Rattus norvegicus: one gene and its partners. The protein of the gene in region 3 purifies or fractionates together with the protein of the main gene of each other region. This does not show direct contact. Links are inferred from orthologs where the notes say so. Each region holds a gene or a part of one and is shown on either strand. Other genes may lie near its edges.

Region 1 (3,500 bases), on a different chromosome or scaffold from region 3:
TCATAGCCTAATTTATTAAAATTATGGTTGTTATTGGGTATCAGATTTCTACTGTAGTTGATTGATTTATGCTTCCTGAATAGTTCAATGAGATTATATAATGAAAGTACCTATATTGTTAAGTAACAGGATCACCAAAACAAGATAGGCAACTTGTTTGTTTTAATATACTTAAGATTTTTATTTATTTATTTTATGTAGTAAGTACACTGTGGCTGTCTTCAGACACACCAGAAGAGGGCATCAGATCTCATTACAGATGGTTGTGAGCCACCATGTGGTTGCTGGGATTTGAACTCAGGACCTCTGGAAGAGCAGTTAGTGCTCTTAACCACTGAACCATGAAACATGCATATATTCTGACAGTCTAATTCTGGTTGAATTCAAATTTTATTTTACTTATTTTTTGTTTAAAATATTTTTAAGCTTTGTTTGTTTGTTTGTTTGTTTGTTTGTTTGTTTGTTTTAGACAGGGTTTCACTATGTAACTCTGATTGTCCTGAACTTACTATGTAGACCAGGCTGGCCTCAAACTCATAGAAATCTGCCTGCCTCTACACCCAACCCCAACCCCCAGTGCTGGGATTAAAAGTGTGCACCACTATACATAGTATGATCTTTATTCTTTATTTTATGTGTGTAGATGTTTTGTCTGCATCTATGTGCATGAAATGCCTGAGGAAGCCAGAAGAGAGTTAGAACTCTTAGGACTGGAGTTACAAGTGGTTTTGAGCTACTATGTGGTAGTTGGGAATCAAATCCCTGTCTTCTGGTAAAGTAGCCATTGTTCTTAACCATTAAACCGTCTATCTGGCCTGATTTCAAATTTTAAAGTAATACCACATGAGCTAAGAGAATCCAATATTGTTCTAAGACATGTACTGAATCTTTATGACTGGGTGGAAATGAGAACCATTAGGATGAACAATTAGACAGTAGTAATATAACTTCTTGTTTAAAATTTACAAAATATATTATGATTACAGTCTTTGATTTCTGATCATCTACAGTGCTAGTTGCATGAATACAACAATTTTAAAATTCAGAAACTATTTGCTAAAACTTTAGGGTAAATAAATTACAAATAAGCTATACATAGAAATTCTTACATCTCCTATTTTATAACTAGTTTTATCAAATTATGAACCTAGTTGCTCTATACATATACAAAACAGTGCATACATCAAGAACAGCCAAGTACAAGTATATGGGCAAATAGCATTCACAGATACAGGGATTATGTTCTGTCAAGATATGGTCCAACATAATGGAGTCATAGATCTAGGCACTAGGACCATTGGTTTGTCCTCAGTTATGGAAAGACTTGACCCCGTCTGAACCTTTTTCTCTTTAGGTTGTAAAGAAGGATAATGTCTTTGTGGCATACAGTAAATCCTCATATAAGATTGAAAGTAATGTTATGAGGTTATTAAATAGAAAACTTTTGTTTTATAATTGGTAATAATTATATAATTATTTACCCCTAGAAATTTTTTTTACCTGATACAGTTCTTAACTAGGTGGCACAGGCTGACTTCAAACTCTCAATTCTCTGTAATGTTTATTTGCCTGTTTATGTATATGTGTGTGTGTGTGTGTGTGTGTGTGTGTGTGTGTGTGTGTGTGTACACGAGCACACACACAGGGAGGTCAAGAAGTTATAGGACAACTTGTAGGAGTCAGTTTTCTCCTACCCTGTGGATTCTGGGATCAAATTCTTGTTATTAGCCTTGGTGATAGGTTCTTAGTTACCTCTCTACCAACCTAGCCAATTTTTTATCATCATCATCATCACCACCACTACCACCACCACTACTACTCTTACTACCACTACACTGCTACTATTACTGTGTTGCAGCGGTAGGTTCTAAACTTGTCGATGCGAGCAGTTCTCCTGCCCAGCCTCCCAAGTAGCTGAGAGTAGAGGTGGTAATTACCGTGCCTGCCTCAGAAACTTGTAACTGTGGACCTTGTACTTCAAAACAGACTTGGGCCAAAGTGACTGGAAATTTCGGGGATGATTATAGAGTGGGGTTTAGAATCATGATAACTTTATTTGTGACACTTGCTACTTGGAATGGTTATTAAGCACTTGGGTGAAATACTTACAAAGCTTTTCTAAATTTCAGTTTGTTCATATCAACAACTTAAAACTCATCTGCAGAGCACATCAGCTTGTGCACGAAGGCTATAAGTTTATGTTTGACGAGAAGCTGGTCACAGTGTGGTCTGCTCCTAACTACTGCTATCGCTGTGGAAACATTGCTTCCATCATGGTCTTCAAAGACGTCAACACGAGAGAACCAAAGTTATTCCGAGCAGTTCCAGATTCAGAACGTGTTATTCCTCCCAGAACCACGACGCCGTATTTCCTTTGAGGCCTTTGCCATCCCGCTGGCCACTTTTTGCCCTCTTTTACCCCAACTTTCTTGTACCCTCTACAATATACTTTTTATTGAGCACTTTGCTGCTGAAATGCTGCCTCTTGCCTTTTTTTTTAATTTTAAATTATCTAACTTTATTGTTTGTTATGGTGTCAATAGCAGTGTTTTTCTATCAGTTTTGTCACTCATCCTATCCCCACATGGACTCGTTTGAGAAGACTTGAGAAATGTCTTAATACTCACATTGCTGCATGTAGCTCTTGCTTGTTTGCTGTTCTGGGGAGACAGGAAGCATCTCTTTTTTAAAAAGCCAATTGACAATTACATGGAAATCCTCCTCATTTGTATCAGCTAGCCTTTTGTTTTTGTTTGGTAGGATTTAAGAAATTTCAGCAGCAAAGTTGTCCAGTGGGCAGGATGGACTGCATATGCCTGAGTCATGTACCCTTGTCCAAGCTGTAAACTCCACTGTCCTTTGTTGGATGATAATTTGATGTTTTAAAAGGGTATAAAATAAATTGGTCTAAAGGGCTGCCCTCCTTGTTGTGTTTTTAAATTTTAGTTAAAAACTGCTACAGCTATGACTTTGTACATTAAGATAATTGTACTGATCTTTTTTCAAAAATCTTGTATTTTTTAATAAAATAATCTTAAAACCCAGATAGGTTAAGTGTTAGAAATTTTAAAAAATTTACATTGTTAGCTGAAAGTTACTTTTTCTTTCTTATGTTTTCTTATTTTTTTTTTCTTTTTCTTTGTTGAGTTTTTGACCCTTTGGTTGAGTTAAAAATTTCAATTAAAATTCAATATTTTTTTAAAAAAAATCACTAAATTGTGCCTAAAGAACATAACTGCCATATTAATGTTTTTATTTCTATAGTATTAGAAAACATTTAATACTTATAGCATTAATGTGTTGATTTGATACCAATTGAGTAGAATGTGCTCAGTCCAGTTTACACTCTGTCATGAGTATCATCAAGTAAACACATGTACTTTTCAATAGCAAGCATTCTCTCGCTGTAACCTTTGACCTTAACTTTTACAAAGTATTCAGTTTTTAACTGCAATTTTAAAGGCTGAACAATCAGAACCCTTGTGTTTGTGAACTGTAAT
Region 2 (3,500 bases), on a different chromosome or scaffold from region 3:
GGTTTTAAACCCCCTGGATTTATGTACTAGAAACCAAAACCAAGTACTTTGCAAGACTGTCAAGAGCTATTGACTGCTGAGCCATTTCTCCAGCTCCTCTAGTCCATGGGAAAGGAGACAGGCTGACCACATAACCCCTACAGGGCACATCCATTATCTGATTTGAGCACTGGGCAGCCAATTGGAAGAAGCAGGCAGGCAGGCTGAAGGAGGTGTGTTTGGGCATCAAAGCACTAGGGTGCATTTTGTGGGGTGTGGGGAATATTAGACAACTCGTGAGTTAACTAAGTGGACGGTCACAAAGATACTGCTTTTATCTAATGCCCATTATCCTCCTTAGTTTTAAAGACCCACTAATGCTCTCGTGAGCTTCTTGTGTCTCCTTGGTCTCCTCCTTGCTTTAATGCCTTCTCACCTCTTCCTGAGACCCTGTATGGGCTCCATATATAGAATGTGGGGCTCTGAATCACTATTCATTGGTTCTATTTTTCTCTTTCCACAAGCCTCAGACCTTCATGAAGATATTACACTCCTTCAGTTCTTTCTACCCTTTCCTAACTCTTTCTCATCCTGTGCTCTGTGTCTTTTTTCTCCTCCAGTCTTCCCTCAGCCTCTCCAGTCATACTGTTATATACTCTCTCCTTGGATGGCAACCAACCCTTCCTGTCACCTTTATGTGACTGAAGCAATCTAAGAACTATTTTTTCATATCTTTATTGCCCTTCTATGCTAAAACATCACATTTTCTACCACTGTGTCCCCAACCTGGCTCAACATGAGTTTCTCAAAACTTAGACACAGAACCTGTGAGATGGCTCAGTGGGTAAGGAAGGGTATTCACTGCCAACTCAGGGTACTCAAGTTCGATTCTCATAACCCACATAATACAAGAAGAGAACTAACTCCTTGCAAGTTGTCCTCTGACACCCACATGCATGTGTGCTATAGCACATATACTGTACCCACACACAAAATAAATAAGAGTCAGCTTGCCTCCTATGCCACTCTAGCTCCTGCCATCCTCTTAGTGAATGGGAACAATATCAAGTGCTTACTGTATGACAGCTCTGAGCTGTACAATTAGGTATGACAACCGTGCTTAATCTTCACAACATGCCCACGAAGAAGATGCTATTATTTCCCTTATTTTACAAGACATAGGTCATTTTTAGTTAAGGCAGTCTGGCCTCAGAACAAAGATGTGTCCATTCTATAGTGTCACGCCCCTTCCAAGATTCCATTCCTCATCTTCAGGTCCTACCCCTTGTCTTGCCAACCTTTGATAATTCTCCCTCCGATAGGCTTCTCCCTTGAGTGGCCCCTCCCACTCCTCATTGGCCCCTCCCACTCCTCGGCCTGACTCATTACCTACCTCAGTTTCACTAACTGCCAGTTATTTTGAAGCCATCCCATTTGTAGGTCTGCTGTAGCTACCTTTCTTCCTCCTCAGAATGAAAAATGCTTTCTTTTGAATTTAAAAATAACATGGCCACAGAACAGAGAGACTGTAAGAAAAACTGTAAAATATCTAATGGTAAATAGAGGTTCTAAAATATCTTGAATTAAACTTAGTCCTGAAATTAAACTTTTGAAACCATGACTTTTCAACATAGACACGGAAGATCCTGAAACTGTGCTCTAAGGGTCCCGAATGCAAGCAGGAAGGAAAAGTCACCAATTCGCACACAGCTTCTCTTATCCACGGCTCGTGCACACTATTCTCTGTTGGGAATGCCCTCTCCCGAATTATTTCTGTGGCTCCTCTCAAATACTCTGCTCAAAAACAAACTCCTTTCTTTTTTTTAATCCCCAAACAATAGACAAGCCAATATGTGCGTCATCTACTTCGCAAAGTTTTACTCCTCTTCTTCTCTTGGCACTCATCACGTTTTGCCTCAAGTGCCTGAGTGGGTTTTATCTCCTGTATTGTGAATCAGTAATGGCCAGGGATCTCATCTCATGTTTGGATTTTCCTCTGCTGTCAAACTAAGAGCAGGGCAGTCCTTAAGCAACTCCGTGGCTGATGGAGTGCTCGCCACTATCTGGTCAATGATCCTTCACCAAAGAACAGCTTGCTGAAGAAAACCATTTGAAGGGCATGCTGGGATTGGGAACAGTCATGAGTTAGTCCTTCCTCTGTCTTCTCAGCAGCTCTCCCCGCTCAGCTAACTGTGCTATACTAAAATATAGGCTGAGTTAGCGCCTTCAAGGCCTGATATTCATCCTGGAGCATTCATTAATCCACAAAGGAGATACGACTGGAGACTTGGTGCCTGCCTACATGCTGATACCATCATGCCCAGAGAGGCAACCTAGCTGTTTCCATAGCATTTCCATCCAGGATAAGGCTACGTGAATCGAAGCGCTTCCGATTCAGGAAAACACAGCAAAACTGACAGTAGTTAGGTTGGCTCAAAGGCTCGGTGCAAAGGTGTTTAAGGCAGAGAGATGGAGTGTCATACCTGAATGTTCACATCGGCCCCATTGTTGACTAACAGTTCCAGACACAGAGCACCGTGAGTAGACGCCGCTGCAAAGTGCAGAGGGGTGAAGCCACTGTTGTTAGGCTGGTTCACGTTAGCGCCGTAGTCGATCAGCTCATTAACGACAGCATCCTGGCCATTGTAGCAGGCAATGTGAAGTGCTGTGTTTCCATAGACATTGATTTCATCAATCTGCAAAGCACCCAACAAGGGAAATTAAAATCACTGAAGCCAATTTACTCCATTCGCCACAAAGGCGAGAGAAAAGAAATATCCACCTATCAATGTAATTATTCAGAGCTCACTTGCTCCCCAATGGGTTATCCTGAGAACGCCTGTATCCTCAACCCCCTGCCCTCCTGGGGAAAAAGAATCAAAATTGAATATGATCCCCCCCCCAAAAAAACATAGCCCAAGGTTATTAGAGGCTTCAGCCTGTGGAGGGGTTTATCCAGACGGAGACGGATAAATACAGTGGAAAGCAAAGAGACTTTCGCAATGCTAGAGAAGTAAAGGACAAACCCCAACTCAGGGCTTGGGAACTGTGACCATGAAGAGAGAAGACGGGTAGCAAGACAGTGGCTTGTGGGCCCTGTGCCCTTGAGTCAGGCTCAGAATCAATTCTGCCTTCACGCTGGAGCCTGACACCTCAGGAGCGAATCTTCCTGCAGAGCTGAGGTGTGTTATAGTCCATGGCTCCCTGTTCTTTCCCAGACCTGCTCAAGGATCTGGATGTTAGCATCTTGGTTTCAGACCACACTTGACTCTCCTTTCCTCCAGGGGTAAGACGCCCTGAGCATTACTGCTCCCAGGTGAAGAAGAAGAGGGCTGGCCGACAGTTCAAGCTCACCATCGCCGTTCCTTACTCAACCCCCACCATCCATTTACTCCCCCCTGCTGTGAGCCTCACCTTCCAAGGTGCAATTCTGACTAGGCCTTTAAAATGACTGATCATTACATATTACACCAAATATAAATGTTAGCCGGGAGGTGGCGGTGCATGAGGCCAGCCTGGTC
Region 3 (4,891 bases):
AGTTTAGCACAGCTAGTATTAGTTGTTTTTGTTTTTGTTTTTTAAGATTTATTTATTATATTAGTACACTGTGGCTGCCTTCAGACACAACGAAAGAGGGCATCAGATTTCATTACAGATGATTGTGAGCCACCATGTGGTTGCTGGGAATTGAACTCAGGACCTGTGGAAGAGCAGTCAGTGCTCTTAACCACTGAGCCATCTCTCCAGCCACTAGTATTAGTTTTTAAAGAAACCCCTTTGTCTGTCTCTCTCTTTTTTTCCCCCCAAGATTTTTGATTTTTGTTTTGTTGAGACATACTGTCATGTAGCCCAGGCTGGCTTGAAGTTGCAGTGTATCTAAGGATAACCTTGAACTTCTTGGTCATCCTGAGTGCTGAGATTATAGGGTGCACCACCACACCGTATATGTTTTTTGTGTTCTTTCATATATTCTTCCTTTCTTTACCTTATTCTCATAAGCTCCTCAAAAACTTCATAGAACTGGTTTAAGAAAGTCACTCAGACAATGTCCTAAGTTCCAGATTTTAAACATATCAATGCCATTCTTCTGTATAGTAAGTGGCTGTTCACAGGTGGAAAGGCTTGTGTGATACTGGTGATGGGTGACTTGAAAGTTGGTGCCTCATCTCTTGTGGTTGTAGCTGAGTCTAGTTCTCAAATGACTCAGACTCCACTTGTTGGCTGGCTTCTCCAGCACCCTCATATTCCTGGGTTCCCTGGACCTCTCTGGAGGCCTTTGTTCCCCATATTTTTTTGTTATCTGCTCTGTGGTCCTGGGCTGTGGTTGGGGAAGTGGATCATAGGCTGTCCCTACATGGCCACCTAATGAATTGTCTGGCAGGAGTGGAGGAAGCACAGACAGCGAGGAGGAGGAAGAAGAGGAGGAAGAAGAGGATGAGGATGAGGGGGCTGACCAGGCAGCATGTGGAAGAACCAGCCCTTCCTCCTTCCCCAGCCCTGGCCCTCAGCCTTCTGGTGAGTGTTGGATGGCTTATGCTCAGGTATACATGGAGCTTCTGACTGTTTTGAACTTATCTTTTGTCCATGTTCTCTCACCTCTGCCACAGGCCCAAGTTGGACTGCTACCTTTGACCCAGTGCCTATGGATGCCCCAACAGGCCCCCCAGTTTCCAAGGAGGCAGACATATCCTCTATCCAGATCCTATCCAGCCCTCCAGCCCACGATTCCCCACAGCTCAGGTGTGGATGGACAGGACAGGGCAGGCGGATATTGCTCTGATATTTGGTCTGGAAGGCACTCCTATGTCTCTTAGGCTTGGGAGTTGATGACCTGCATTCTTTCAAGCTCCTCTTTTACCTTCTAGGTCGCAGGACCCCACACACCCCTCAGCACCTCAGGAAGTCACAGATAGCAGCAAAGTAGCAGAGCCCTTGGGTGAGCTAAGCCATACCTTTTCCCTAAGGGCCCTGGACCCTTGTATGAAGACAGCATAGCCATGTCTCAGCTTGCTGGAAGGTGGCAGCTAAGAACTGGCTCATCTCTTTCTCCACAGCCCCCTGCCAGGCCTTGGTTAGTGTTGCAGATGTCCAGGCCACTCTGCATGGGATGCGCTCTGCCCCCAGCTACTTGGACAGGTGATCATTAATTTCCCATCTCAGCTGGAGGTAGGATAGGGGAATCCCAGCCTCCTTGCTGAGGTGGGTGCTAGGCTCTTGTCTCTAGCTGTCCTCAGCACTAAGCTTCGGTGTCCCTGTAGCCATTCATTTTTATAATTAAATGTTTTGGACAATGGCATATATAAGGGCTCTTGTTACCCCAGAGGTAAGAACAGCTTCCAAGAGGATCAGGGACCACAAGAAGCAGGAGGACTGTGCATAGCCCCACAAGCATATTCTGCAGGGGGATAATCACTGGGAGTAGCTGGGTCTAAGGTCTCATTTTCCCCTCGAGGCTCTGCAACCCCACTATGCTCTGCTGTCAGTATGCTAATGGGCTTCTCTGTTCTGAGGTCTCTTTGCTGCCCAGCCCTGCCCTCACCTTAGGCCCCTTACGGAAAGATGGTGGCCTCAGGCAGGCAGGGATATGGGAATATCTAACAGTAGTCAAATTGATCTCTCTCACAGTGCAACCAGAGACCCCTCTACCTCTGTCCCAGACTTCAAGGCCCACCAATCCCCTCAGACAATGGAGGGGAAAAAGAGCCCAGAACATTTGGGGCTTCCCCAAAACCAGAGGTGAGTTAGTCTCTCTGGGTGGTATTGGGTGGATGGAGCAAGACTGGTAAAGCATGAAATAACCTCCAGGTTTCCTTTCTCCCCTAACAGTGCCCAGGCCCTTGAGATGCCCAATGGTTCTACCCCAGGAGGGCCCATTACATCGGGTTCTCAGTGAGTATGGCAATAGCCTGGGGTGGGTCTGCAAGATGGGGTCACTAGACCCTCACTGGTGTTTCTCTCTGTTTCTAGGTAGCTGCCTGGTGGCAGCGGTGGCCAAGTCCTCTGTCCTCCCTGTGGAGTTCCTCAGTGGGGCAGGATGAGTCCTTTGGTGGCCCTCTATTCCATTGTCCCATACCCTGCATTCTCTCCTCTGGACTCCCAGGGAGGCTGGTGCCAGGGAGATGCCCTTACCCACCCCCATTTGCACTGAGAAGAGAAACTATGGAGTTTTTCCTCCAAGAATAAAGATAGAGAGTCACATAGAGAGAAAGGAGAGAGAGAGAGAGAGAGAGAGAGAGAGAGAGAGAGAGAGAGAGAGAGAGAGAGAGAATATTATATATATTATATATATATTATATATATATTATATATATATATATAGAGAGAGAGATAGATATTGAGGGAGGAGTAAGAAAGGAAGCCAGGACAAGAACTGGGCCAGCAGCTCTGAAGCACAACCTCCCTGTCTTTCCCAGTAGGGGTTGGTGCTGGGGTTTGAAGCCGCTGACCTGTGCTCTGGTGCAGATGCTCACATCCAGCCTTTCACTCAGGATCACCGTGGGGTGTAACAGAGGACATCGGGCCCAAATGGCCATGCGTTTGTCTAGACCTTGCACTTTGACCAGTCATCTGGCCTCTGGCCCTGGGGAACACGGCCTCCCTGGCAATAGCCCCAGAGTCCCAGAATGGAGGTTGCTGGATCTCCCATACCCTGAGGGTCCCAGCACTGCTGCCAAGTGGCCTTGTCCCAGCTCCCTCCCCAAGGCTGGTGTGAGTGTGCAAGTATGTGTGCAGAGCTTGTGTTTCATACTGCAAATATAAATAAAGGAAGATAGCAGAAGATTCCTAGTGTGGGCTTTTGAGTTCCTGGGACTCAGAGTTGGGTGAACATGCTCTCCATGGCCTAGAGAGCTACATTCTCTTTGGAACACACTTGTGAGAGTGTGTATGGGTGCAGAGGGATGAAGAATATGTATACACCAGGCAGGAACATCAGGAAAAGGGTACCAGCCTTGTTGAGTTAGCACTTTGGGGCTCTCTCATCTTGATGTGCACTTCCTTAGCCCTGTTCTAAAATGCAGATCAGCTTATGACTGTGTTGAGTTAGCTTATAGCCCCCTTACCTCTATCCTCCTCTAACAGACCTTGGAGCTGACTTTCCTGCCATTGAGGGATAGACGGTAGCAGGTGTGGTGGTGCATATAAGAGTCAGGCTCAGCCTGGTCTACCAAGGACAGCCAGAGCTCAGCAGAGAAACCCTGACTCAAAAACAAAAGTGGGAGAGATTAGGAGACAGGAAACTGCCTTGAGAATGGACACACAATGAAGTATCTCCTGAGGGGATGGTTGAGAAACTTAGTAGTCCCTGGGCATCCAGTAGGTCCCTATCTTCTACATGGGAAGGCTGCAGAGTATACAGTGGCATGATATATTTCCTTCCGGGAAATACATTTGAACGACTTCGAGCATAACACAGGATTTATTTAATCAGCACTGTGACAGGACTCCTCTAGAGTCCTTCCTGTCTCTGTTCTCCAGGGTTGGTTGTGGGGGCACCCCTCTGTGGAACCTTATATTGTCCCTTCTGATTGGCTGGGCATGAGACAATGGGAGCTCCACTTGGGGGGAGGGAACTCACTTTTGCCAACCCATAAGGGAGGTGGTGGCCAGGTTTCTAGGTGCTGGGGAGGAACTGGAGGGTGGAGGGACCCTTGGTTCCTGATGGGCACCTTATCAGCAAGTGCCAGACAGGAATAGGCCTTGCGTGAGCCTTGTTATCAGCCCGAGAGTCCACAGGACACTTGGGTTAATGTGTAACCACAGGGCTTCCCCTCTGCCCTCTGAAGCCACTGGTTCCTAAAGAGAAGTCACTCAACATGGATGCTAGAAAAGAGGGACTGTCCCTGGAGATACTCTTTTCAGACCAAGTGAGAATCTGTATGGTGGGGATGGGGTCAGGTCTGGGAACATGGGCAGCCCTGGGGCCTGTGATTATCTATGCTTGGTGAGTTGGTGGGGATCCCCTGTCCTTCCAGGAGGCTGGGTTTTAAGGTATCATGGTTTTGTCCTTGCAAGAGACGTGAATGTAAAGGTTATCAAGGTGGCTAAAGATTCTAGTCCTGAAAGTTCAGCCTGGACATACTTAGGAATTGGCTTGAAGGTGGTGTGGGGACAGGTGTTTAAATAGGTTCTCACTATGTATCCTAGACCAGTTTTGAATTCAACAGCCTCCTGTTTCTACCTCCTAAGTACTGGAATTAGACATTTCCTACCATGCCTTGCTGTGACCCCTACCCCTGGATTGGGCTGAATGTTGGTAGGCTGAGCAGCTTCCCTCTCCTCAAGTATCCACAGGTCCGCAGGTGGCTGGCCCCCTTCATCGTTGCCTGCTCCCTCTACTTCCTCCTCTGGATTCCTGAGGACCAGCCATCTTGGGTCAGTGCCCTGGTCAAGTGCCAGCCCATTCTCTGCCTGGTTTTGTTCCTGTGGG

What was found. Proteins that work in one complex are often made in the same cells at the same time.
Region 1: the proteins of Ppp6r1 (region 3) and Ppp6c purify together in Homo sapiens (affinity purification with mass spectrometry; 11 studies listed by BioGRID and IntAct, with this or other methods). This does not show direct contact. The link is inferred for Rattus norvegicus from reciprocal best matches to the Homo sapiens genes PPP6R1 and PPP6C.
Region 2: the proteins of Ppp6r1 (region 3) and Ankrd44 purify together in Homo sapiens (co-immunoprecipitation; 5 studies listed by BioGRID and IntAct, counting the BioPlex papers as one, with this or other methods). This does not show direct contact. The link is inferred for Rattus norvegicus from reciprocal best matches to the Homo sapiens genes PPP6R1 and ANKRD44.

What each region holds. Positions count from the first base shown.
Region 1 is NC_086021.1:43,340,808-43,344,307, reverse strand, and holds the end of Ppp6c (serine/threonine-protein phosphatase 6 catalytic subunit), read left to right. Parts: intron 1-2,129; coding exon 2,130-2,378; 3' UTR 2,379-3,208; downstream 3,209-3,500.
Region 2 is NC_086027.1:63,743,941-63,747,440, forward strand, and holds part of Ankrd44 (serine/threonine-protein phosphatase 6 regulatory ankyrin repeat subunit B), read right to left. Parts: intron 2,676-3,500; coding exon 2,463-2,675; intron 1-2,462. UniProt on the Homo sapiens protein: Putative regulatory subunit of protein phosphatase 6 (PP6) that may be involved in the recognition of phosphoprotein substrates.
Region 3 is NC_086019.1:78,242,685-78,247,575, forward strand, and holds the end of Ppp6r1 (serine/threonine-protein phosphatase 6 regulatory subunit 1), read left to right. Parts: intron 1-844; coding exon 845-978; intron 979-1,070; coding exon 1,071-1,203; intron 1,204-1,328; coding exon 1,329-1,399; intron 1,400-1,517; coding exon 1,518-1,599; intron 1,600-2,088; coding exon 2,089-2,199; intron 2,200-2,289; coding exon 2,290-2,352; coding exon of another isoform or gene 2,353-2,356; intron 2,357-2,430; coding exon 2,431-2,434; 3' UTR 2,435-3,676; downstream 3,677-4,891. Other genes in the region: lysoplasmalogenase TMEM86B, read left to right, coding at 4,675-4,891. UniProt on the Homo sapiens protein: Regulatory subunit of protein phosphatase 6 (PP6). May function as a scaffolding PP6 subunit. Involved in the PP6-mediated dephosphorylation of NFKBIE opposing its degradation in response to TNF-alpha.